Xenopus tropicalis: one gene and its partners. The protein of the gene in region 2 interacts with the protein of the main gene of each other region in a biochemical or structural test. Links are inferred from orthologs where the notes say so. Each region holds a gene or a part of one and is shown on either strand. Other genes may lie near its edges.

Evidence for each region.
Region 1: the proteins of setd1a (region 2) and wdr5 form a complex in vitro, tested with the Homo sapiens proteins (4 studies listed by BioGRID, with this or other methods). The link is inferred for Xenopus tropicalis from reciprocal best matches to the Homo sapiens genes SETD1A and WDR5.
Region 3: the proteins of setd1a (region 2) and wdr82 form a complex in vitro, tested with the Homo sapiens proteins (2 studies listed by BioGRID). The link is inferred for Xenopus tropicalis from reciprocal best matches to the Homo sapiens genes SETD1A and WDR82.

The regions. Positions count from the first base shown.
Region 1 is NC_030684.2:8,197,120-8,205,935, reverse strand, and holds the start of wdr5 (WD repeat-containing protein 5), read left to right. Parts: upstream 1-3,571; 5' UTR 3,572-3,614; coding exon 3,615-3,695; intron 3,696-5,449; coding exon 5,450-5,558; intron 5,559-5,631; coding exon 5,632-5,705; intron 5,706-6,024; coding exon 6,025-6,114; intron 6,115-7,468; coding exon 7,469-7,558; intron 7,559-8,102; coding exon 8,103-8,186; intron 8,187-8,816.
Region 2 is NC_030685.2:5,882,750-5,891,503, forward strand, and holds the start of setd1a (histone-lysine N-methyltransferase SETD1A), read right to left. Parts: upstream 5,600-8,754; 5' UTR 5,433-5,599; coding exon 5,394-5,432; exon of another isoform or gene 5,270-5,393; intron 5,264-5,269; exon of another isoform or gene 5,059-5,263; intron 1,661-5,058; coding exon 1,508-1,660; intron 774-1,507; coding exon 675-773; intron 553-674; coding exon 282-552; intron 1-281. UniProt on the Homo sapiens protein: Histone methyltransferase that catalyzes methyl group transfer from S-adenosyl-L-methionine to the epsilon-amino group of 'Lys-4' of histone H3 (H3K4) via a non-processive mechanism.
Region 3 is NC_030680.2:128,232,876-128,240,651, reverse strand, and holds the end of wdr82 (WD repeat-containing protein 82), read right to left. Parts: coding exon 7,727-7,776; intron 7,563-7,726; exon of another isoform or gene 7,479-7,562; intron 7,249-7,478; coding exon 7,182-7,248; intron 6,144-7,181; coding exon 6,044-6,143; intron 5,941-6,043; coding exon 5,824-5,940; intron 4,737-5,823; coding exon 4,581-4,736; intron 4,435-4,580; coding exon 4,365-4,434; intron 4,282-4,364; coding exon 4,139-4,281; intron 3,961-4,138; coding exon 3,931-3,960; 3' UTR 1,971-3,930; downstream 1-1,970. Other genes in the region: twf2 (twinfilin-2), read right to left, coding at 1-3. UniProt on the Homo sapiens protein: Regulatory component of the SET1/COMPASS complex implicated in the tethering of this complex to transcriptional start sites of active genes.

The DNA of each region.
Region 1 (8,816 bases), on a different chromosome or scaffold from region 2:
CACAGATACCCCAATACCCCCCATACCTTTATATCTCCTCTCTCATACCCCAATACCCCCACAGATACCCCCACAGATACCCCCAATACCTTTATATCTCCTCTCTCATACCCCAATACCCCACAGATACCCCACAGATACCCCCATACCTTTATATCTCCTCTCTCATACCCCAATACCCCACAGATACCCCAATACCCCCATACCCTTTATATCTCCTCTCTCATACCCCAATACCCCCACAGATACCCCAATACCTTATATCTCCTCTCTCATACCCCCACAGATACCCCAATACCCCCCCATACTTTATATCTCCTCTCTCATACCCCAATACCCCCACAGATACCCCAATACCCCCATACTTATATCTCCTCTCTCATACCCGCAATACCCCCATACCTTTATATCTCCTCTCTCATACCCCAATACCCCCACAGATACCCCAATACCCCCATACCTTTATATCTCCTCTCTCATACCCCAATACCCCCACAGATACCCCAATACCCCCCCATACCTTTATATCTCCTCTCTCATACCCCAATACCCCCACAGATACCCCCCAATACCCCCATACCTTTATATCTCTTCTCATATCCCCATACCCCACATACCCAACCTTTTATCCTCTCCATACCCCACAGATCCAATACCCCCATACCTTTATACTCCTCTCTCAACCCAATACCCCCACAGATACCCCCACAGATACCCCCCATACCTTTATATCTCCTCTCTCATACCCCAATACCCCCACAGATACCCCCAATACCCCCCATACCTTATATCTCCTCTCTCATACCCCAATACCCCCAAGCATACCCCCAATACCCTTTATATCTCCTCTTCATACCCCAATACCCCCACAGATACCCCAGGGATACCCCAATACCCGCCCCATACCTTTATATCTCCTCTCTCATACCCCAATACCCCCACAGATACCCAATACCCCCATACCTTTATATCTCCTCTCTCATACCCCAATACCCCACAGATACCCCAATACCCCCATAACCTTTATATCTCCTCTCTCATACCCCCAATACCCCCACAGATACCCCCACAGATACCCCCATACCTTTATATCTCCTCTCTCATCCCCAATACCCCCACAGATACCCCCACAGATACCCCAATACCCCCATACCTTGTATATCTCTTCTCTATACCCCCACAGATACCCCAATACCCCCCATACCTTTATATCTCCTCTCTCATACCCCAATACCCCCACAGATACCCCAATACCCCCCCCATACCTTATATCTCCTCTCTCATACCCCCACAGATACCCCAATACCCCCATACCTTTATATAGCCTCTCTCATACCCCCACAGATACCCCAATACCCCCCATACCTTTCCTATATATCCTCTCATGCCCCAGCTACCCCAATAGCCCCCATACCTTTCCTATATATCCTCTCTCATGCCCCCAGCTACCCCAATACCCCCCATACCTTTATATCTCCTCTCTCATACCCCAATACCCCCACAGATACCCCAATACCCCCCATACCTTTATATCTCCTCTCTCATACCCCAATACCCCCACAGATACCCCAATACCCCCCATACCTTTATATCTCCTCTCTCATACCCCAATACCCCCACAGATACCCAATACCCCCATACCTTTATATCTCCTCTCTCATACCCCCACAGATACCCCCATACCTTTATATCTCCTCTCTCATACCCCACAGATACCCCAATACCCCCATACCTTTATATCTCCTCTCTCATACCCCCACAGATACCCCAATACCCCCCCATACCTTTATATCTCCTCTCTCATACCCCAATACCCCCACAGATACCCCAATACCCCCATACCTTTATATCTCCTCTCTCATACCCCCACAGATACCCCCATACCTTTATATCTCCTCTCTCATACCCCCACAGATACCCCAATACCCCCCATACCTTTATATCTCCTCTCTCATACCCCCACAGATACCCCCCCATTCCATATATCTCCTCTCTCATACCCCCACAGATACCCCCCCATTCCATATATCTCCTCTCTCATACCCCCACAGATACCCCCCCATTCCATATAGCTCCTCTCTCATACCCCCACAGATACCCCCCCATTCCATATAGCTCCTCTCTCATACCCCCACAGATACCCCCCCATTCCATATAGCTCCTCTCTCATACCCCCACAGATACCCCAATACCCCCCCATACCTTTATATCTCCTCTCTCATACCCCCCACAGATACCCCAATACCCCCCCATACCTTTATATCTCCTCTCTCATACCCCCACAGATACCCCAATACCCCCCCATACCTTTATATCTCTCTCTCATACCCCCACAGATACCCCAGTACCCCCCTTACCTTTATATAGCCTCTCTCATGCCCCCAGCTACCCCAATAGCCCCCATACCTTTCCTATATATCCTCTCTCATGCCCCCAGCTACCCCAATAGCCCCCATACCTTCCTTTATATCCTTTCTCAAACACCCCAGTTACCCCCATACCTTTATATATCCTCTCTCATATCCTCAGCTACCCCAATAGCCCCCATACCTTTATATCTCTCTCATACACCCACAGCTACCCCAATAGCCCCCATACCTTTCCTTTACATCCCCTCTCATACCCCCCAGCTACCCCAATAGCCCCCATACCTTTATATCTCCTCTCTCATACCCCTACAGATACCCCAATAGCCGCCATACCTTTATATAGCCTCTCTCATACCCCCACAGATACCCCAATAGCCCCCATACCTTTATATAGCCTCTCTCATACTCCCACAGATACCCCAATAGCCCCCATAACCTTTATATCTCCTCTCTCATACACCCACAGCTACCCCAATAGCCCCAATACCTTTCCTTTATATCCTCTCTCATACCCTCAGCTACCCCAATACCCCCCATACCTTTCCTTTATATCATCTCTCATACCCTCAGCTACCCCAATAGCCCCAATACCTTTCCTTTATATCCTCTCTCATACCCCCAGTTACCCCCATACCCCCCCATACCTTTATATATGCTCTCTCATACACCCACAGCTACCCCAATACCCCCCATACCTTTCCTTTACATCCTCTCTCATACCCTCAGCTACCCCAATAGCCCCCATACCTTTCCTTTATATTCTCTCTCATACCCCCAGCTACCCCAATAGCCCCCATACCATGATATATCCTCCCTCATACCCCCACGGATAGCCCCCATACCAATATAGATACTCTTTTATACCCCCACAGCCAGACCAATAGCCCCCATACCTTTATATATCCTCTTTTTTTAACCCCACAGCCACACCAATAGCCCCCCATACCATTATATCCCAAACAGCCACGCCCCCTCAGAAAGGTCTCCCTATTGGCCACAATGTTTCCCCAAAAAATCTACAGCCCCACTACTGCCTGTACTGTTACACAATGCTCACACGTGCACAATAGGAGAACCCCATACCACATATAAATACATTATTCTGGAAAGGCTTCTGGTACAAATAGTAGTAAATAAGTAATAAATATTGCTAATTATGTCCTTTTCTTTGTTTACAAACACCTAGCCTGCATAGTGGGAGTGGCCATCTGCTAACTCAAGGGGCCCCATTCCAGTTCTTGCACCATGGCAACAGAAGAAAAGAAACCCGAAACTGAAGCTTCCAAGACGCAATCCACCCCATCCTCGTCCAATAATCAGAGCAAGGTTGGTATTCTTCTACATGTGGAGCGGCCAAGATGCTTCCAGTAAGGCTTTGGGTGTTACTTTTGTGTGAAATCCAGCAGTTATGGATCATTAATCCTGCTTATAAAGGGTAATGTTAAAGGGGAAATATATCCGCCTCTGGCTTTTTAAATATACCCTTAATATAAAGGGCCTCTTATAGGTGGGTAGTGTAGTAGGGTTATAGGATCCAAAGGGTTACATATTCTTTTCCTACTTAAATATACATCTTAGAAAATTAACTTTTAGTAAGAGGTCCCAAGAATTGGCCATTCTGTAACATACTAAAAGTTAAAGGGGATGTCAACCCAAGATAAAATATTGACTAAAGAAAATGTATTTTCAAGCAACTTCCCAATATCCATTCATTCCCCATTCTCACTGGGTTTATAGTTATGTGTAACTGTCACTGTGTCTGTCCCTTTCCCTTCCCTGCACTGCTGGTTCTGACTCCTGATACAACTCCCCAATACCCATTCATTCCTCATTCTCACTGGGTTTATAGTTATGTGTAACTGTCACTGTGTCTGTCCCTTTCCCTTCCCTGCACTGCTGGTTCTGACTCCTGATACAACTCCCCAATATCCATTCATTCCTCATTCTCACTGGGTTTATAGTTATGTGTAACTGTCACTGTGTCTGTCCCTTTCCCTTCCCTGCACTGCTGGTTCTGACTCCTGATACAACTCCCCAATATCCATTCATCCCTCATTCTCACTGGGTTTATAGTTATGTGTAACTGTCACTGTGTCTGTCCCTTTCCCTTCTCTGCACTGCTGGTTCTGACTCCTGATACAACTCCCCAATATCCATTCATCCCTCATTCTCACTGGGTTTAATAGTTATGTGTAACTGTCACTGTGTCTGTCCCTTTCCCTTCTCTGCACTGCTGGTTCTGACTCCTGATACAACTCCCCAATATCCATTCATTCCTCATTCTCACTGGGTTTATAGTTATGTGTAACTGTCACTGTGTCTGTCCCTTTCCCTTCCCTGCACTGCTGGTTCTGACTCCTGATACAACTCCCCAATACCCATTCATCCCTCATTCTCACTGGGTTTATAGTTATGTGTAACTGTCACTGTGTCTGTCCCTTTCCCTTCCCTGCACTGCTGGTTCTGACTCCTGATACAACTCCCCAATATCCATTCATTCCTCATTCTCACTGGGGTTTATAGTTATGTGTAACTGTCACTGTGTCTGTCCCTTTCCCTTCCCTGCACTGCTGGTTCTGACTCCTGATACAACTCCCCAATATCCATTCATCCCTCATTCTCACTGGGTTTATAGTTATGTGTAACTGTCACTGTGTCTGTCCCTTTCCCTTCTCTGCACTGCTGGTTCTGACTCCTGATACAACTCCCCAATATCCATTCATTCCTCATTCATATACTGAAATATGGCAGTAGATCCTCACCCAGGGTTGGGAGTTTTATGAATTTAAGTTGAATTGTTTCTGGTTTCTCATGAATACGTTCGACTCAACCAACTTTTGGGTACTTTCCAATACGCGGCTCTGATGTTTGTAGAGAGATGAAATATAGGGGGTGGGTGCTGAATGTGACAAATTTCAGGTTTGTGCAGCGGTTACATACAACATGGCTGCCTGCCCTGGGGGCTCCCTGTCACTGTAGGGGGCTGTTTTTTATTTTAAAACTATTGTTTCCCCCAACTCTCTGCCTCAATGTCTGCAAAATACATTTCTGAAATCCCCATTTTTCTCTTCTATTCATAGCCTGCACCAGTAAAGCCAAATTACACGCTAAAGTTCACCCTCGCCGGACACACCAAGGCCGTATCATCTGTAAAATTCAGCCCGAACGGGGAGTGGCTCGCCAGTTCATGTAAGTGACATTCCACCTATCGTTATGTCTTTGCCCTAAAGAAACTACAGTGTCACTTTTTTGTTCTTTTCAGCGGCCGACAAGTTAATCAAAATATGGGGGGCGTACGACGGCAAGTTTGAAAAAACCATATCCGGCCACAAGTTGGTAAGAACCTTTTGTTGTTATTGCTCGCGTCTAGCCGGTGTTGAATTCCTGTAGCACCATATATTTAAATTCCACCAGCGTCTGCTTCGTGTAACATTAAACCCATACTGTTTTGCACCTTATCCCCCCAGCGCCGTGCAGCAGAAGCCAATTAGAGTTTGCATTTGCCAGACACCTCCCCAGGGGCCTCCCTAATTTATAGACGGGCTTGGGGATTTCATGTGTTTTAATTTGGCACTGGTTAAGAAATATAAACCCCCTTAATCAAATCCGATTAGTGAAACTTTTATTTATTTATTCTTTTTATTTTTATATTCAGGGAATATCTGATGTCGCCTGGTCCTCTGACTCCAACCTCCTGGTTTCTGCTTCTGACGATAAAACTCTAAAAATCTGGGACGTGAGCTCGGTGAGGCCTGATTGACTTACCGTTGGGAAGAATATGTTTTTGTGTTTCTTCATTGAGGGGTAAAATGATAACACAGGATACATTCCCTATTTCTCTTACATCATGGGGGACACAGGAACAGCCTAATTGCCTCGTTAATCCAGTGGGCAAACGTGGCCTTGGTAGTAGGCAGAGCCTCTCTAGAGGCTAGGCCTAACCTCCTGTCCACTTAAAAAGCTGAGCCCTGTTGGCTAAGCAAAAGGGTTAAAGAAAAGAGGGAGGAGCAACAGTTATGACATCACTGCAGTGTCCTGCCTCCTGGTAGGAGGAGCCCTTTACCCCACTCTTCCTGTGTCCCCCTAACGACTATAGAGAAAAGGATTTAACGGTGTGTATATAAATCTTCCTTATTGAAGGTGAGTCCATATTACCCACTGCTTCCATCGGAGCTATCAGTGGTGAAACTAGCTATACAGCAGACCCAGCGGTCACGGGGGGCCTGGGTGACAGGGGGGCCGTACTGTGGGGTCTGCTGTATTGCAGTCCCCCCCCCCTCATCCTTTTTTTTTTTTTTTTTAAATAGTTGGGGTCAGGACAGGAGGGACTGTTCTCACCAGGCCCCCTTAGAAGATTTGTTTGCAGGGGTCGGCCACCTTGCCCCTGCACCTTCCCCCCCCCCCCCCCATGTGCAGTTCCGTCAAACACGGGGGATCATTGCCCCCACCACATAATCGTAATGACAAGCAGCCAGGGCAGTGACAAGGGAATGCGGACTAAAGGCTCCTGCCTGGCGCCCCCCAATCGTTAAGTGCCTCTTCTGCCTACCCCTAGTTCCAGCCCTGGCAGGAGAGCCCCGGCACTATGCCCATATATGCCACGGTGGGGCGTTAGGGGCGTATTTCTCAAAACACGAGTTCAAATCCCGAATGGGAAAAATTTGGATTGGAAACGAAAATTTCTGAAGATCGCAAATATAACGAAAATGTGCTTACGAAAAAATCGTATTAGTCACGATAATATCATATTGGCGATCCGAAAGTCACAATTTTTGTACCGAACGATAGTAAACAGCAGCAAAACTGATTTTGTTCATGCTAAAAATACGAAAAAAGTCGTGCAAGGTGCAAAAAATACGATTGGATCGAACGAACGCACCAAGTGTTCGTAGATAAGTAAATGTGCCCCTTAGTATGTCTTATTCTTAGCAACTTTTCAATTGGACGTCATTTTTTTTTTTTTTTTAATTAACTTTTTATTAAACCATATGCTTTCCTCTTCTGCCTCTATCTCACTAATTTGGGTTCATTAACCCCGGAAACTTGTTCTACTATCATTTTTAAAAAACCTATATTTTTTGCCTTTTTTTTTTCTACAGGGAAAATGTTTGAAGACCTTGAAGGGGCACAGTAACTATGTATTCTGCTGTAACTTTAACCCGCAGTCCAACCTCATCGTGTCAGGATCCGTAAGTTGATGAGACTTGAGTTGTTTTTTTTCCCCTCTTGGTTTATATATAGGGCCACTGAACGTTCGTAATACTTCTCCTTACTGCCATGTTGTTTATAAGAGAGAACTGTGACTGCCGCTCACCAATCCCTGAATCTATAATGGCCGAGAAATCTTTTACCTGCCGCCGTTATCATGATGCTTTTGAAATCAGCACAGACTGCTCACGCGTTCAAAGTCCATATGTTATAAATGGGACATAATGACTGCTGGTGATACTGTGGGGGTTCTGAGTTCTGATATCTACTGATCAGTTTAACTTCCAATTAGGGCTTTTAAAGGACAACTAAAACCTCCTACGGAACTAGTAGAGAAACCACAGGCTTTTTGCATAGGGCTTACTGGCCATACCCTTTCCTGGATATCATTGGCATGTTCAGCAGCTCTGGGTATGCCCTATCCCGGGGGTTACGGGAAACAAACACGTTTATAGGATTAATTTATACCATATCCGGAAATCACTTTCTAATGGTTTCTAATTTGACCTTTCTTTTTTTTTTCAGTTTGATGAAAGTGTAAGAATATGGGATGTGAAAACTGGGAAATGCCTGAAGACGTTGCCTGCTCATTCTGACCCCGTCTCTGCTGTAAGCATATTGTACAGGGCATAGATGCACGTAGGCCCATGGCAGCCATTTTTTTTTCTGGCACTGGAAATTCCATGTCCTGGTTTCAATTTTTTAATGCCTTGTGCTGTGCGGTAGCAGGTAAAAAGAACAGCAGATTAGGGAAATGTCCCCAGCATGTGAGGCTTCAGGTGTGGCTTAATAAACTATAGTAGGGTTTCTGTAGCAAACACCCCAGCTGTACCAGTGCAGGAACGGCTGCCCCCGGGGCTACACAGCGGGGTATTTATATAAACTATAGTAGGGTTTCTGTAGCAAACACCCCAGCTGTACCAGTGCAGGGCATTATTATAGTTTAATTACTGGTCTCTTTATGAATCCAGCCTTGTGGAAGACTGAAAAAGAAAGTACGGAGGGTATAAATAAGGATTTGGGCTATGAGCTCTACCCCTTTCAGTTTTACTTTGTTATCCATCTTGGGTAAAGAATGTCAGAGAGCATATTTGCCAGAAAAATAAGAGTACAAAAGGTAGTTCATGAAGGAACTGCTGCTTAGCAGTGTGCATTATGGGTAAATAAACACCGCCAGCTGAGTGCTGCTTATTTCACAGATCTCTTATAACAAGTCCCTGCCCGTGGCTGCTTTAATAT
Region 2 (8,754 bases):
TATATATATATATATATATATATATATATATATATATAAAAATCCTAATCCACCGAGTGAGCTGTTTGGGCCTAGCCCAACCGCTGGATTCAGCCCCAGCCCATTATTGCTGCTCTGCCAAACATTATGCACGCAGCCTGTCAAATCCCGTTAGACTGCCAGATGGCAAATTGCCATTTTTAAATACTCTGACATCTTAATTAAGACCAAAAACATTTGGCTAAAAACTTGTCCCAATACTACTGGCCACATAGCTCTGACCGAGTCCGTTGCCCCCTCACCTCTGAGGTCCAGCTCGGCGTGGATGATGTTGCCCATCACAGACGTATTGTGGAGGTGAGTGACTGTGTCCCTGGCCGCTTTGGAGCTGGAGAAGAGGACCTTGGCCAGCCCCAGGTGTTTCCTAGTTTTGGGGTGCAGCAGTATCTCCACTTCCTCCACATCCCCAAACTTGCGGCACATGTCGGCCAGGAAAGGCTCCCGCACGTTGTCATTGAGATGCGCAAAAGTGATTTCTTTCTGGGGAAGCTGTCCCACGTAGAACTCATCAAACTAACAAACGGGGGGGGGGTTACAGAGTGAAATCTCGCTCCCAATGAGAGGAGGTACAGAGCCCAGAAATACAAAGCACATCCCACAGAAATACACGCTCTGCGCAGATATTACCCGCATACCTTAAATTTAGGAACAGGGAGGGAAATCTCTCGTGGTTTGCTCCACATGCGATGCTGTCGGGGGTCCCGCACGTCCCCCAGTGGGAGGAATGCTCCATCCTAAGGGCAAAGCAATAACATCACTCAGCGACTGAGCCATTAAACGATACCCCTGGCTGAGAAGTAACCTACCAAACCTTAGCCATGGATACAGTTTGGAATTTAAACTGCTGTCTGGTTGCCAGGCTCACTGCCCTTAACAACCAAGAAGTAGCTTAAACAGCACACAGTAAGATGAATCAGAAAGGGATAGGTTAACTTTTAGTATGTTGTAGAATGGCCTAGTCTTAGAAGCTATTCAATTTTTATTTTTTATAGTTTTTGAATTATTTGCCTTCATCTTCTGACTCTTTTCAGCTTTCAAATGGGGGGTCATTGACCCCAGTGCCAAAAAACTGTTGCCCTGCGAGGCTACGATTTTATTGTTATGGTTCCTTTTTATGACTTCTTTCTATTTATGCCCTCTTCTATTCATAACCCCGTGTCTCTTTCAAACCACTGTGTAGTTGCTAGGTTAAATTGGACCCTAGCAACTAGATAGCCGCTGAAATTTCAGACTGGGCAGCTGCTGACCAAAAAGCTAAATAAATTTATAAAATGAGAATAATAAAAAATGAAGACCAAATGCAAGTTGCCTCAGAACAGCACTCTCTACATTATACTAAACGTTAATTTAAAGGTGAACTACCCCTTTATAAAGAAAATAATAAAACAATAATCACAGACCGCAAACTGCGGGAAGCCACTCATAATAATGCTCCCCACCCCCCCGACACAGGCTGTAAAGGCCTTACGGATATGTTGAAGTGGATTCCATCATAGCGATAGACTTTCTGCGTTGTTCTGCGACTGTGCAATGCGGGATCCAACAGCAACTTGTAGCTCCTCCACTGGAAGCCCGCCCCTCTGTGACTTTCGCCCTCGGGCTCCATCTGGGGACATCTGACCTGTAAGGGGACAGTACAACAGTTTATGGAACATACCGTGCTGCATTTCAACCCTGCGCTTATCTGGTTTAGTCTTTTCCACTACTTCCCATTAAATGTTTTCTCGTTGTGTGGCTGACTTGGCCTTTAAAATGATCCTGACTGCCTTAAACTGCTACACGCTCCTTGTTAGAAATCGGACAGTCACTGTCTCATTTTGTTTTTAGGCCGCGGGCCTGTCGTTGGTGCCCAGACATTACTATAACATGGCGCCACTCGCTCCTCCTATAAAAGTAAGTCCTTATATCATCCAGCGAGTTTCAATCCAGCGGCTGCTGTCGGTTATTCGGAACCAAACTGCTACAATTTACAGTACAATCTCCCGCTCTCCAGTCAGATTGTGGGTTTCTGTTTGGTGTCACGTGCAGCCATCTTGGTTTCTTGCACCCGTCTGTTTGCTCACTCCCATTGTTTGCCTTTAGAACGCTCTCTCCACCACGTGCTCCTCTGTCTGTCACACACCTCCGTCTTTGCACTGCAAGCGCTCCTTTCCCATGGTGTCTGTCTCTTCAGTGTTGGTCTGTGCGGTCTGCAAGCTTCAATATTAAATCTCTTCCATTTCTTGCACTCTCATTGCCTGTCTGCCAACCTTGTCCATCAGTCTCTTGATTTACAATTTTATCCCCTCCTCTGAAATGTATTTACTCCATGCAATCTCCTAGCAAATATATTCTATGTCATCCTGTCTGTCAGAAAGATTCCCTAGTAAACAACCCTTAATGTCTGTCTCCTGCGTGTCACTCTATAGCCAAACACTATAACTAAACACCCCACTGCTGCCCCTGTAAAGGCTTTGATATGTGGCTGTGTCGGTCTCTCCCAGCTGCCCCTCTGTCTCACTCTCTGTGGTTCTCTCGCTGCCTGTAGCACTGGGCCAAAATGGCTTCTCTTAAATTTCACACTGGGAATCTCTAAGCATACTTTTGGCCAGTCTCTTGCCCTGCCTGTCTCCCCAATGCCCCCCCCCCCCCCCCCCACTCTTCTCTGTCTTCTAGTTACACTCAGCCCCTTCCTTCAGCACAGTATCCCAGGGAACAGTGGGCCCCTGACAAGCCTGGGGCCCCCTTGGGGGCATTAGATCATTAAGGAAAGTCCACCCTGCACCAGCCAGCTTTGGATGAGCAGCAATTCGTTGGCTGTTGGGAATAGTAGTGAAGCAACAGCCGGGGGGCTGCAGTAGGGAAGTAACAGCCGGGGGGCTGCAGTAGGGAAGTAACAGCCGGGGGGCTGCAGTAGGGAAGTAACAGCCGGGGGGCTGCAGTAGGGAAGCAGAAGCCGGGGGGCTGCAGTAGGGAAGCAGAAGCCGGGGGGCTGCAGTAGGGAAGCAGAAGCCGGGGGGCTGCAGTAGGGAAGCAGAAGCCGGGGGGCTGCAGTAGGGAAGCAGAAGCCGGGGGCTGCAGTAGGGAAGCAGAAGCCGGGGGGCTGCAGTAGGGAAGCAACAGCCGGGGGGCTGCAGTAGGGAAGCAGAAGCCGGGGGGCTGCAGTAGGGAAGCAGAAGCCGGGGGGCTGCAGTAGGGAAGCAGAAGCCGGGGGGCTGCAGTAGGGAAGCAGAAGCCGGGGGGCTGCAGTAGGGAAGCAGAAGCCGGGGGGCTGCAGTAGGGAAAGCAGAAGCCGGGGGGGCTGCAGTAGGGAAGCAACAGCCGGGGGGCTGCAGTAGGGAAGCAACAGCCGGGGGGCTGCAGTAGGGAAGCAACAGCCGGGGGGCTGCAGTAGGGAAGTAACAGCCGGGGGGCTGCAGTAGGGAAGTAACAGCCGGGGGGCTGCAGTAGGGAAGCAGAAGCCGGGGGCTGCAGTAGGGAAGCAGAAGCCGGGGGGCTGCAGTAGGGAAGCAGAAGCCGGGGGGCTGCAGTAGGGAAGCAACAGCCGGGGGCTGCAGTAGGGAAGCAACAGCCGGGGGGCTGCAGTAGGGAAGCAACAGCCGGGGGGCTGCAGTAGGGAAGCAACAGCCGGGGGGCTGCAGTAGGGAAGCAACAGCCGGGGGGCTGCAGTAGGGAAGCAACAGCCGGGGGGCTGCAGTAGGGAAGCAACAGCCGGGGGGCTGCAGTAGGGAAGCAACAGCCGGGGGGCTGCAGTAGGGAAGTAACAGCCGGGGGGCTGCAGTAGGGAAGTAACAGCCGGGGGGCTGCAGTAGGGAAGTAACAGCCGGGGGGCTGCAGTAGGGAAGCAGAAGCCGGGGGGCTGCAGTAGGGAAGCAGAAGCCGGGGGGCTGCAGTAGGGAAGCAGAAGCCGGGGGGCTGCAGTAGGGAAGCAGAAGCCGGGGGGCTGCAGTAGGGAAGCAGAAGCCGGGGGGCTGCAGTAGGGAAGCAGAAGCCGGGGGGCTGCAGTAGGGAAGCAGAAGCCGGGGGCTGCAGTAGGGAAGCAGAAGCCGGGGGGCTGCAGTAGGGAAGCAGAAGCCGGGGGGCTGCAGTAGGGAAGCAGAAGCCGGGGGGCTGCAGTAGGGAAGCAGAAGCCGGGGGGCTGCAGTAGGGAAGTAACAGCCGGGGGGCTGCAGTAGGGAAGCAACAGCCGGGGGGCTGCAGTAGGGAAGCAGAAGCCGGGGGGCTGCAGTAGGGAAGTAACAGCCGGGGGGCTGCAGTAGGGAAGCAGAAGCCGGGGGGCTGCAGTAGGGAAGTAAAAGCCGGGGGGCTGCAGTAGGGAAGTAACAGCCGGGGGCTGCAGTAGGGAAGCAGAAGCCGGGGGGCTGCAGTAGGGAAGCAGAAGCCGGGGGGCTGCAGTAGGGAAGCAAAAGCCGGGGGGCTGCAGTAGGGAAGTAACAGCCGGGGGGCTGCAGTAGGGAAGTAACAGCCGGGGGGCTGCAGTAGGGAAGCAGAAGCCGGGGGGCTGCAGTAGGGAAGCAGAAGCCGGGGGGCTGCAGTAGGGAAGTAAAAGCCGGGGGGCTGCAGTAGGGAAGTAACAGCCGGGGGGCTGCAGTAGGGAAGTAACAGCCGGGGGGCTGCAGTAGGGAAGCAGAAGCCGGGGGGCTGCAGTAGGGAAGCAGAAGCCGGGGGGCTGCAGTAGGGAAGCAGAAGCCGGGGGGCTGCAGTAGGGAAGCAGAAGCCGGGGGGCTGCAGTAGGGAAGTAAAAGCCGGGGGGCTGCAGGTTGGCCCCAGCTGATGTACGAAATGAAAGTACCTCAGAACTGACAATGTATCATGTGGCCCTTTGTCCATTTACTCCTTCCCACCCCCAGGGGTCCCGGGATGCTGGGGGGCCGGATACCCTGTGTGCCCTACCCACTAAGCAGCCGCGCAGTGTATCCGTTCCCTGGGTGCCCCTGTGCCCCTCGCATCGCCAGGTTCCCATTCCGGGGCAGCCCCTGTGCCCCTGCCCTCAGCCCCTCACTCCCGGCCTCCCCCGCCATGGCCGCCGCTCGCCGTTACCTTCCACACTGTGTCTCGGTGTTTATTTCCGCTGCTGATTTCCCTGCTTCTCACCTGACTGACGCGCTGTGTCCCTAGCTGTCTCTCCCCCGGATCCCTCTCTCGCTGCCTCCCGGTGGCGCTGCCTTGCCTTCCGCTCTGCCGCTTTCGCCCCGGCCCTGCCCCCTTTGCCTCACACAGGCTTCCCCACCGACTATTTAATTCCTCTTGCCTTTTCTGCCTCTCCCGCCGTAAAGCGGTCTCGTTTTCTTCACAAACGCGCTGAGTAAAATCCTATGTCCGCACCGCGCAGAGTGGAATCTGCAGCCACTGAAAGCGCAGACTGGTTTCCTCACCACCACTTTCCGACGCGGCACTTTCAACACAAACACCATAAAATAAGCGAAGCCATTTTTTCCCCGGACGGAGCACGGCTTCTCACTTTGTAACCCACTAATAACATAAAAGCAGCAGGGGTGGGTTTTTATTTTCCCTTTTACTGATTAAGAAATGTGGAATCTGCCGACCGCTGAAGGAAAGCTGAGTGACGTAGTATAAGGAGGGAGGAAAGGCGGGATTATGTTATAGAAAGGAGCGCAGGAAAGAAAAGGATGCAGATCTATAGTCCGACTCTATGGTTACGGGAGGACGGTTACCAGCCTGGAGCTGCTATAGGCTAGAGAGAACACGTGGTGTGGGGTTTTGTGTTCAACCCGCGCTGCCCAAATCGCCATTGGCTCTAAGTCAGCGCCTCTCACAGTCTGGCCAAATCCCTGCCCACTGGTCATATGGTCTGCGAACTGGGGACATTGGGCGGCCACAGAGTAAAGGCTCGGTCACAGTCAGGGTTTGGATAGAATAGAGACATTGGGCAGCCACAGAGGGGAGACTGGGTCACAGTCAGGACTTGGGTAGAATAGTGACATTGGGCAGCCACAGAGGGGAGATTGGGTCACAATTCAGAATTTGGATAGAATAGTGACATTGGGCAGCCACAGAGGGGAGACTGGGTCACAGTCAGGACTTGGATAGAATAGTGACATTGGGCAGCCACAGAGGGGAGATTGGGTCACAGTCAGGACTTGGGTAGAATAGTGACATTGGGCAGCCACAGAGGGGAGACTGAGTCACAGTCAGGACTTGGGTAGAATAGTGACATTGGGCAGCCACAGAGGGGAGACTGGGTCACAGCCAGGACTTGGGTAGAATAGTGACATTGGGCAGCCACAGAGGGGAGACTGGGTCACAGTCAGGACTTGGGTAGAATAGTGACATCGGGCAGCCACAGAGGGGAGACTGGGTCACAGTCAGAACTTGGGTAGAATAGTGACATTGGGCAGCCACAGAGGGGAGACTGAGTCACAGTCAGGACTTGGGTAGAATAGTGACATTGGGCAGCCACAGAGGGGAGACTGGGTCACAGCCAGGACTTGGGTAGAATAGTGACATTGGGCAGCCACAGAGGGGAGACTGAGTCACAGTCAGGACTTGGGTAGAATAGTGACATTGGGCAGCCACAGAGGGGAGACTGGGTCACAGTCAGGACTTGGGTAGAATAGTGACATTGGGCAGCCACAGAGGGGAGACTGGGTCACAGTCAGGACTTGGGTACAATAGTGACATTGGGCAGCAACAGAGGGGATACTGGGTCACAGCCAGGACTTGGGTAGAATAGTGACATTGGGCAGCCACAGAGGGGAGACTGGGTCACAGTCAGGACTTGGGTACAATAGTGACATTGGGCAGCAACAGAGGGGAGACTGGGTCACAGCCAGGACTTGGGTAGAATAGTGACATTGGGCGGCCACAGAGGGGAGACTGGGTCACAATTCAGAATTTGGATAGAATAGTGACATTGTGCAGCCACAGAGGGGGGACTGGGTCACAGTCAGGGTTTGGATAGAATAGTGACATTGGGCAGCCACAGAGGGGAGACTGGGTCACAGTCAGGGTTTGGATAGAATAGTGACATTGGGCAGCCACAGAGGGGAGATTGGGTCACAGTCAGGGTTTGGATAGAATAGTGACATTGGGCAGCCACAGAGGGGAGACTGGGTCACAGTCAGGGTTTGGATAGAATAGTGACATTGGGCAGCCACAGAGGGGAGACTGGGTCACAGTCAGGACTTGGATAGAATAGTGACATTGGGCAGCCACAGAGGGGAGATTGGGTCACAGTCAGGGTTTGGATAGAATAGTGACATTGGGCAGCCACAGGGGGGAGATTGGGTCACAGTCAGGACTTGGATAGAATAGTGACATTGGGCAGCCACAGAGGGGAGATTGGGTCACAGTCAGGACTTGGGTAGAATAGTGACATTGGGCAGCCACAGAGGGGCGATTGGGTCACAGTCAGGACTGGGGTAGAATAGTGACATTGGGCAGCCACAGAGGGGGGGCTGGGTCACAGTCAGGACTTGGGTAGAATAGTGACATTGGGCAGCCACAGAGGGGAGACTGGGTCACAATTCAGAATTTGGATAGAATAGTGACATTGGGCAGCCGCAGGGGGGAGATTGGGTCACAGTCAGGACTTGGGTAGAATAGTGACATTGGGCAGCCACAGAGGGGCGATTGGGTCACAGTCAGGACTTGGGTAGAATAGTGACATTGGGCAGCCACAGAGGGGAGACTGGGTCACAGTCAGGACTTGGGTAGAATAGTGACATTGGGCAGCCACAGAGGGGAGACTGGGTCACAGTCAGAATTTGGATAGAATAGTGACATTGGGCAGCCACAGAGGGGGGGCTGGGTCACAGTCAGGACTTGGGTAGAATAGTGACATTGGGCAGCCACAGAGGGGAGACTGGGTCACAATTCAGAATTTGGATAGAATAGTGACATTGGGCAGCCACAGAGGGGCGATTGGGTCACAGTCAGGACTGGGGTAGAATAGTGACATTGGGCAGCCACAGAGGGGGGGCTGGGTCACAGTCAGGACTTGGGTAGAATAGTGACATTGGGCAGCCACAGAGGGGAGACTGGGTCACAATTCAGAATTTGGATAGAATAGTGACATTGGGCAGCCGCAGGGGGGAGATTGGGTCACAGTCAGGACTTGGGTAGAATAGTGACATTGGGCAGCCACAGAGGGGCGATTGGGTCACAGTCAGGACTTGGGTAGAATAGTGACATTGGGCAGCCACAGAGGGGAGACTGGGTCACAGTCAGGACTTGGGTAGAATAGTGACATTGGGCAGCCACAGAGGGGAGACTGGGTCACAGTCAGAATTTGGATAGAATAGTGACATTGGGCAGCCACAGAGGGGAGACTGGGTCACAGTCAGAATTTGGATAGAATAGTGACATTGGGCAGCCACAGACGGGAGACTGGGTCACAATTCAGAATTTGGATAGAATAGTGACATTGGGCAGCCGCAGAGGGGAGACTGGGTCACAGCCAGGACTTGGGTAGAATAGTGACATTGGGCAGCCACAGAGGGGAGACTGGGTCACAGTCAGAATTTGGATAGAATAGTGACATTGGGCAGCCACAGACGGGAGACTGGGTCACAATTCAGAATTTGGATAGAATAGTGACATTGGGCAGCCGCAGAGGGGAGACTGGGTCACAGCCAGGACTTGGGTAGAATAGTGACAATGCTATAGATAAATACTGGAATTCTTCAAGGGAGTCAGCATTTTTCAGAGCATAGCCAAGACCAACAGCTGATGAGTGGTCAGAAGTACAGAGGGAAGTTGGGGGAATCCCAGACC
Region 3 (7,776 bases), on a different chromosome or scaffold from region 2:
CATCGTTCGGCTGCTGACAGCTTCAGGTTAGGGAGCGGCTCCCGGGCCTACGTAGGGGGGCGTGCCTCTGGCTTAAGGGGCGTGGCCTCTGCTATTTAATAAAAGCGAGTGCTTCCTTTGGGGGCATAGCAGAACTGAATTTCCGCCGTCTGTCAGGGGCGGGGCTCTGAGCTCAACTTAAGTTCGCGTTGCGCAATAACAAAAGGGAACTGAGCGCTAACGAGATTGCAGCCGCTATAGGAGCTGCCCCAGAACCACAGAAGATAACCGCTGCGATATGTATTGCTAGGATGCCCAGCCGCGCCGTACACTGGGATGGATACTGATCATGTGACCCCGCTGGTACTGCTGTGATTGGATAGTATTTATAGGGGCGGGAAAAAACGCCCTTTTAATATCTGAGGTACCAATTTGCAAGGCTGGTTGGTTTACACCTAGGGGTAGGGGAGATAGCTGTAGGGTACAGGATCTGGGCTCCTTATGGGGAATAACAAATATATTTTATTTTAAAATATTTTTTATACATGATAAATGTATACAATTAGGGGGTCTGGCCTGTAGTGCTTTAGCTGTAGCAGGCGTGGCCATCTGGACAACAAGTCATCCTGGTTGGCTCCTCTGTTTGAATCAATTATAGGTTCTTTTTGGTATGTAAGATGTATGTTTAGTGCACACAGCCATCTTATGTACAAACCTGTAGGTTATGTTGCTGCTGTATAAATGTTTGCCTGCTACTGGAACTGACAAATTTGCCCTAAGGCCCAGCCACAGGTTCCACCACATTCATTCTGTAGTACAGGTATAGGACCCGTTATCCAGAATGCTCGGGATCAAGGGTATTCCGGATAAGGGGTCTTTCCGTAATTTGGATGTCCATACCTTAAGTCTATTAAAAAATTAATAAAACATTAATTAAACCCAATAGGATTGTTTAGGATTATTTATATCTTAGTTGGGATCACTTACAAGGTATTATTTTATTAATACAGAGAAAAAGGAAATCAGTTTTAAAATTCTGAATTATTTGATTAAAATGGAGTCTATGGGAGACGGGCTTTCCGTAATTCGGAGCTTTCTGGATAACGGGTTTCTGGATAAGGGATCCTATACCTGTATATGCTTTTGAAATAACAATTTTTGAAGCTACGCAAGTCCATAAAAGCCACTGCGAGTGCTCATGCTTCTCCGCTACAGACGAAAAGAAAAACTAAAGCTCCGAAACCCAAACTCCCATGTGTAAACCTGTAGTAAGTGTTGCAATGACAGGACATCCTCTATTGGTATAGTAAGGGAATCAGTATAGTATATACCAGTGTTGCACTAAGGCCTCTAGCACATTGGGCATTAAGTTCACCAATGCCACCTGGCACTTAAGTGGTGGACAGTTTGTCCCATTTGGCCTGTTTGCAGTGGACAACAAAATGCTGTGTACTAGGGGCCTATTATGACCCAGATGTTGCTGGTGTGAATTATTTTAAGGGCAGGACATTCTCTATATATCAAGTTAATATGTTGGTTATTAATAGGCCATCACAATGTATAACAGGGGAACTATAGTGAAACTGTAATATAAACTTTATCTCATAGAAATAAAACATTCTGAATATAATCAAAACTTTTACACAGTTTTATGAAATAATTGAATAACTCTTCACTATCCCCTTCCTAGCAATGCCTTTCTACATGCACGAGATTTTGAAGGACAGATTTTGAAGGACAGCTAAGTCAAACACATCGTTGGTCATAACCCCCATTGCCTAGATAATGTATAAGAGCTATCTTTCAAAATAACCGACAATGCTGCATGTAGAGAGACAGGTTTGCTAAAAGGGGAAAGAGTAATCTGATTATTTAAGACACAATACCAAATTGTAACGTGCTCTGACATGCTGGTGTCAAGTGCACTTTTACCATCTGTGTATTGGGCATTAAAGATATTAAACACATTACTCAAATAAAACAGTACATAGTTGTTTTAATATTTTATTTATGTAAAAAAACATAATTTACAAGAAACAGCTGCACACTGCTTAGCTCCCCAGTAATGGTTTAATCCATTTCTTATTTACATGCACAATCCTCAAATGTATATGAGACAGTGAGATAAATCCTTTATGCTGTGGAATATCTTTATTTTGAAATACTGAATACTGCTTATGAGGCTTCCTTGACATGAGGAAACCATACAATATTTTTGTTTATTTTTTTTTTTTAAAAAGGTTCTGTGTGGTTAAAAATAAACTATCATATTCTGGAGCTGTAAAATACACATTTCCTTGAAGTGTAAAATCTTTTCACCTACTGCTTACTTGACACAAGATCTTAAAGGGCCAAACACACCTAGTTTCCAAATAGGGTATTGCATTAATTTTAATTTAAGATGACAGTTTGGGGCTTCTTTTTATTATATAAATAAAACATAACGCTATTATACTGATAGCAAACCAACATTAACTAGGACTCCTAGATTGTGCTATTTTTTAGTCTATGTAGAGTGATTTTACCGAGGCAAACAATATCACCATTCCCCCAACAGGAACTGTTAATCTATGGTTAAGAACCCAATGCTGCTTTTGGTATGTTTATGTGACTCATTTTAAGATAATGAACAACAGAAAGTAATTAAAATGAAGTGTATATTTGATTTCCAACCAATTTGTGGTCACAAAACAGATCCCAGACTTTTCCTGGGTCCTCTATTAACAAGGTTATTAACCACATAATGTTTTCTTAAAAGCTGAATTCAGTGGTATATATGGATTGCCCTTTAACCTACGTATTTCACTTTCAGCTAGCTACGATTGTCTGTGGGCAAGAAAGAAGCTACTTGTCCTATGCCAGCCAGGCCAATGCAGTGCTGGTAGTGTGGATGCCAACCCAGGCAGTTCTTAATACTAGTGCCAGTTTAATAATGCCCGTTTAATAATGCTGCTTACAGAATATGAGAGCAATATATACTGTTCTGCTACTTATGAATTATATTACCAAATAGATTAACCAATTAATGAAAGAATCATAATCCTGATCTAAACAAATTGGGGCAGCACTAATAAGCAAATTCCCCACAAAGCTACCAGTACTGACTTGAAATAGAAAACAGATGGACAATGCTTAACCTGCGGCCCGTTGGCTATTAAACACATCCAGCATCTCTCAACAATCAAAGGAAACACAGAAATCAATAATAAATGATATAAAGCAATTCCAGTTTAAATCAACTGCATGAAGGAGTCAAAATTGCTGTTTCTGGTAACATGGGATTGTGTTATAGGAATATGTCTGTGTAGATTTGATGCACATCTGTGTAATACTTGTGGCAGTAACTACAGGTGTGGAGAGAGAGCCTATAAGGAAGGAGCACTGCATTAATAAAATTTCTCTTAAAATTAACCAAAACAATAACAGATGTAGCTTCTTGCCAGCCTTTAACTCTGGACAGAGAGGGTATCTAAATAGAATCTGGTTTAGCCGGTTATTTAGTGCGTCATCCACCATGAAATCTACCTCTGGTGTAATATCTGGTGTAACAAGGTTGGTGTGGATTCTTACCATAGTGAACATTTAAATCCTGCTCCAAAGAACAAATACAGATGGAAGCGTATATAAAGGATATAAAAAGAGAGATTGGTAGCATGTGTCTCAAATACAGGTTCGTCAGGAGAAACATGACAAAAATATATACACCATTCCACAAAATAAGTGCCCAGTACATGAAGGTAAAAAACAGAAGTTCATAAATCTTGATATGTACCGAAGAACAGTTCTTATTTTGGCAAAGAGAAATGTTGGCTCAATACTGGGGTATTTTTATGGAAGAATAAAAAAAATAACCATTTTCTTGTTCTTCATATATCCGGGCATTGTGAAGATTTATTTGTGGAAAATAGCTGAAGAATGGGATTTTTACAAATGCCAGCTTCTCTGTATGCATCAGTCATCAATAGTTGGTAGCCAAAAAGCCTGCAATGTAAGATTGTTAGAATCAATTATCCACAGGATTTTCATAGATTCTAAAGCTAGCCACAAACTGTATACTTTGGGACTTCATAGCCTACAAGAAGACATTAATAACTTGATAATGCAACAATAGCTGTATAAAGTGCCAGTTATAACAACCAAAGAATATGATTGTGCTTACCATGTTTGAGCAAGCACTAGTAAACGTCATGAACTTGGGGTTGAACTGTAGGCATGTGATAGGACCTGTGTGTTTGCCATCCAGCACTGCTACTTTCATACCACTCTCACAATTCCAAACATGAATTTTGCCATCTTCTGAGCCTACAGAGATTGAGATGAACCAGTGAGAGGAGTGGATATTGCACAATAGTTGGGATATTAATAAATGTTTTCTTCTAACTTACCGATCATAATAAACTGGGAATCTGGAGTGAAGGTAGCTTCCAGGGTGACAGCCTTACTATTGTTGTAGCCCTAATAAAAAATTCATTATAAGTTTGTTATTTAGTAACGTATTCATCATAAAGTGCAAATATATTCCACAGCAGTAAGTTTAATGACAAGAAGTCATAAGGGCTCTACCTGTTCAGGCCATTTTAATGAAAAAAAAAATTACTCACCCCAAACGTGTGCATAACAGCCCCCTTAAAAGCATCAACCAGACGAAGGAAGCCTCCATTGGTTGACATTAAGATAAGTTTCCCATCATTGCTAAATTTCAGAGCAGTCCACTCACAGGTTCGATCATACTGCATCTTGAAGGTTGCAAATGGACCCTGTGATAAGCAATATTGTACCAGGTTGGTCAATCACTATTATGAAAAGGGACACTGTGCATTTTGTTTAATTTAAGCCCAAAGTGACAGTCAGAAAATGTGACAACTTTGAAGGCCTGGATCATTACTTTTACAGAAATGCTGAACCTTTAGGCTGGTGGATTAAGTCCAGTATATAAAATTCATTTTTAGCGTTTAGTTCTCCTTTCAATTCAGTCTGACACCATCATCATCATCTATTTATTTATTTATAGCACTAGCAAATTACGCAGCACTTAATCAAGATACATTGAATTTGCTTCCCTAAATAAATGGGAGAGTTTGGAAGGAAGGGGAGATTCGGATGGCTCAAGATGGATGATCACAAGCTTACGTAAGAAGCTGTTAGGTGCAGCTTTACACTATAACATACTAGCAAAGGATTAAAAAAATCAGTGCCACTGAGCAACCCTGATAAACTGCAGATATGACCTAAATTTTAGTCTTAAGCCACATGTTAAACAGAGACATTCACCTCTGGTACAAGCATTCCTTGCTCAATGAGGCATTTATAATACATCTATAAGCATAACGTAACGTTGCAGACATTTATAATGTATTATTTATATAGAACCTGCCATTTCCACATTGCTTTACAGAGATTATGGAATATTCACCTAAGTCCCTGCCCAAATGGAGTGTACAACCCAATTGCATTTACACACAGTAAAGTCAATGTTTTTTAGGAACCAATTAACCTGCCTGTATTTATTTTTTTAGGGATGCACCAAATCCAGGATTTGGTCCAGGATTCTGTATTTTTCATCAGGATTGGGATTTGGCTGAAACCATGCCTCTGGACAAACCAAATGCTTAAAATCACATGACTTTGATTTTTATCTATTTTATCCTTTCTGGTCCCAATTTGCATATGTAAATTAGGATTTAATTCGGATTAGTATTGGACAAATCTTTTGCAAATGATCCTACAATAGTGCAATAGTGGATTCTGTGCATCCCTAATTTTTTTGGGATAGTGAGAGAAACTAGGAGCAGCCATGTGGACACGGGAAGAACTTAAAACTCAATTTTGGGTTACAAAACTCACTTTATCAAAAGAGCGAAGATCATACAACTTGACCATCTCTGAATTTACTCCAGCTGCAAAAATGAGACCCTCGGGATCAAATGAACATACAGGTTTTCCTTGAAGATGCATTAGCCCCTGCATGGAAACAAGGAGACAAAGCAAGCCAAAGTTAACTTACAACATTTAGGTTATTACGCAAATAACTAAATACTAAAATAGTGATCAGACAATTACTCACCTGACAGTTAGGCGATCGAAGATCCCATAACCGGATGGTTTTATCCAATGACCCAGAAATGAACGTATCATCCACAGGAGACATAGACAAAGCAACTACTCTGTAAAGCACAACCAGAACATAATAAGATAATACTAGAGTGACTAGGGTAAGTTTAACTGAGAAACTGACACCAGTGTCCCAAAAGCTATAACTACCTATCAAAGTAAAGGTAATGTCACCCAAAGATTTACTGATAGGTTTGCTTTTTGAAAAATTTAGAGACACACTGAATCAAACACTTCAAACCCTCTGTACCATGGGCAGCCTGGACACTCCTTGACCAAAAGATATGGATCTATTGCCGATGCCTGCTATTATGAAGCTATTATAACTAATATTATAGTTTTTTTTTCTCTTATATTTCAGGCTCTCTCATATTCATCTTCCAGTCTGTCATTAAAACCATTGGCTGGTTGCTAGGGTAAATTGCACCGTGGTGTTCAGAGCTGCTGAAATTCTGACCTATCTACTGAACAAAATACTAAATATTTAAAACACAAAATAAAGATCAATTGCAAATTGTCTTAGAATACCACTGTCTTAATTTAAAGGAGAACTACCCCTTTACGTAAATAAAAATGACTGCTGCAGGCAATAAAGCAGAGTGCTATCTGAGTAAAAAGTTGTCAATAACGAAGTGGGTGTTAAATACAAGGGAGTTGCAACACTTTAATCTTGTGCCGAGGTCTCTTATTCCTTACAAACTACTGAAAATTAAAATATCTTACAGCCAATTTGTAAGTATTACTGACAAAACAAAATGTCCCTGGACACTGAAAAAGGAATTCTAAGGATTATGAGACACTATGCATTCTGACTGCATAAACCTTTTCTGGAAAAAGTCATGACTACAAAATCTGAAAACCCGATTTGTGTAGTTTCCCATAGCAACCAACGGATCAGGGTATGGTACAAGTGCACTATTATCACTTGAACATGTTCATGATTTCAAGCAATAATTAAACTTACATTCTAACTACAGAGATTGCTACTGACTATGGGAAAACATCTTCCTGAACGGTCATTGCAGTTTTTCCTGACTCATTCGCCTTTAGCTCCAATATGAAATGTACTGAATTTTGTAAAGCATGCTCACCTCTTGCTGTGTCCAGGGAAATAACGGATGTATTTATTATCATGAAGAGAGAGGTATCGTATTGTGTCTGTAGGAAAAAAATGTATGCACTAAAGATGTAATCAATACTATGTAAACTATACTTCACGCTATATGATTTACAGGCACCAAACATATGCACATCCCACATCAAAAAGGCAAACTAGAAATAGCATAAAACTACTTTATTTATTCCATAAATGTACAAAAAAACCAAATCACATTCTTAGCTGGTCAGTTCTCTGGGTGAAAGGATTCCTTGTCGAGTATGCTCTGTCCTAGGCAAGGCAGTGGCCTGTACAGTTATCTCCAACAGAGGGTGGTGTCACAGACCCTTAAACTGTACAAACAACTACCTCAGCCCAAATCCAGGCAGTCTGTCCGAACTTATTGGCATCTCCATATAAATGTATAACAGCACCTAAAATACACTTATTTTGTTAAAAAAAAAATCACCAAGTAAAATGTTACGGTACACGAACATGAAGTACCTCAATTGTTATTCCCCAAATTACTAGATCACATACCATCAATTTTGTTGGAGCTGTAGACCACTGTATTAGCTGCATGTGTATAT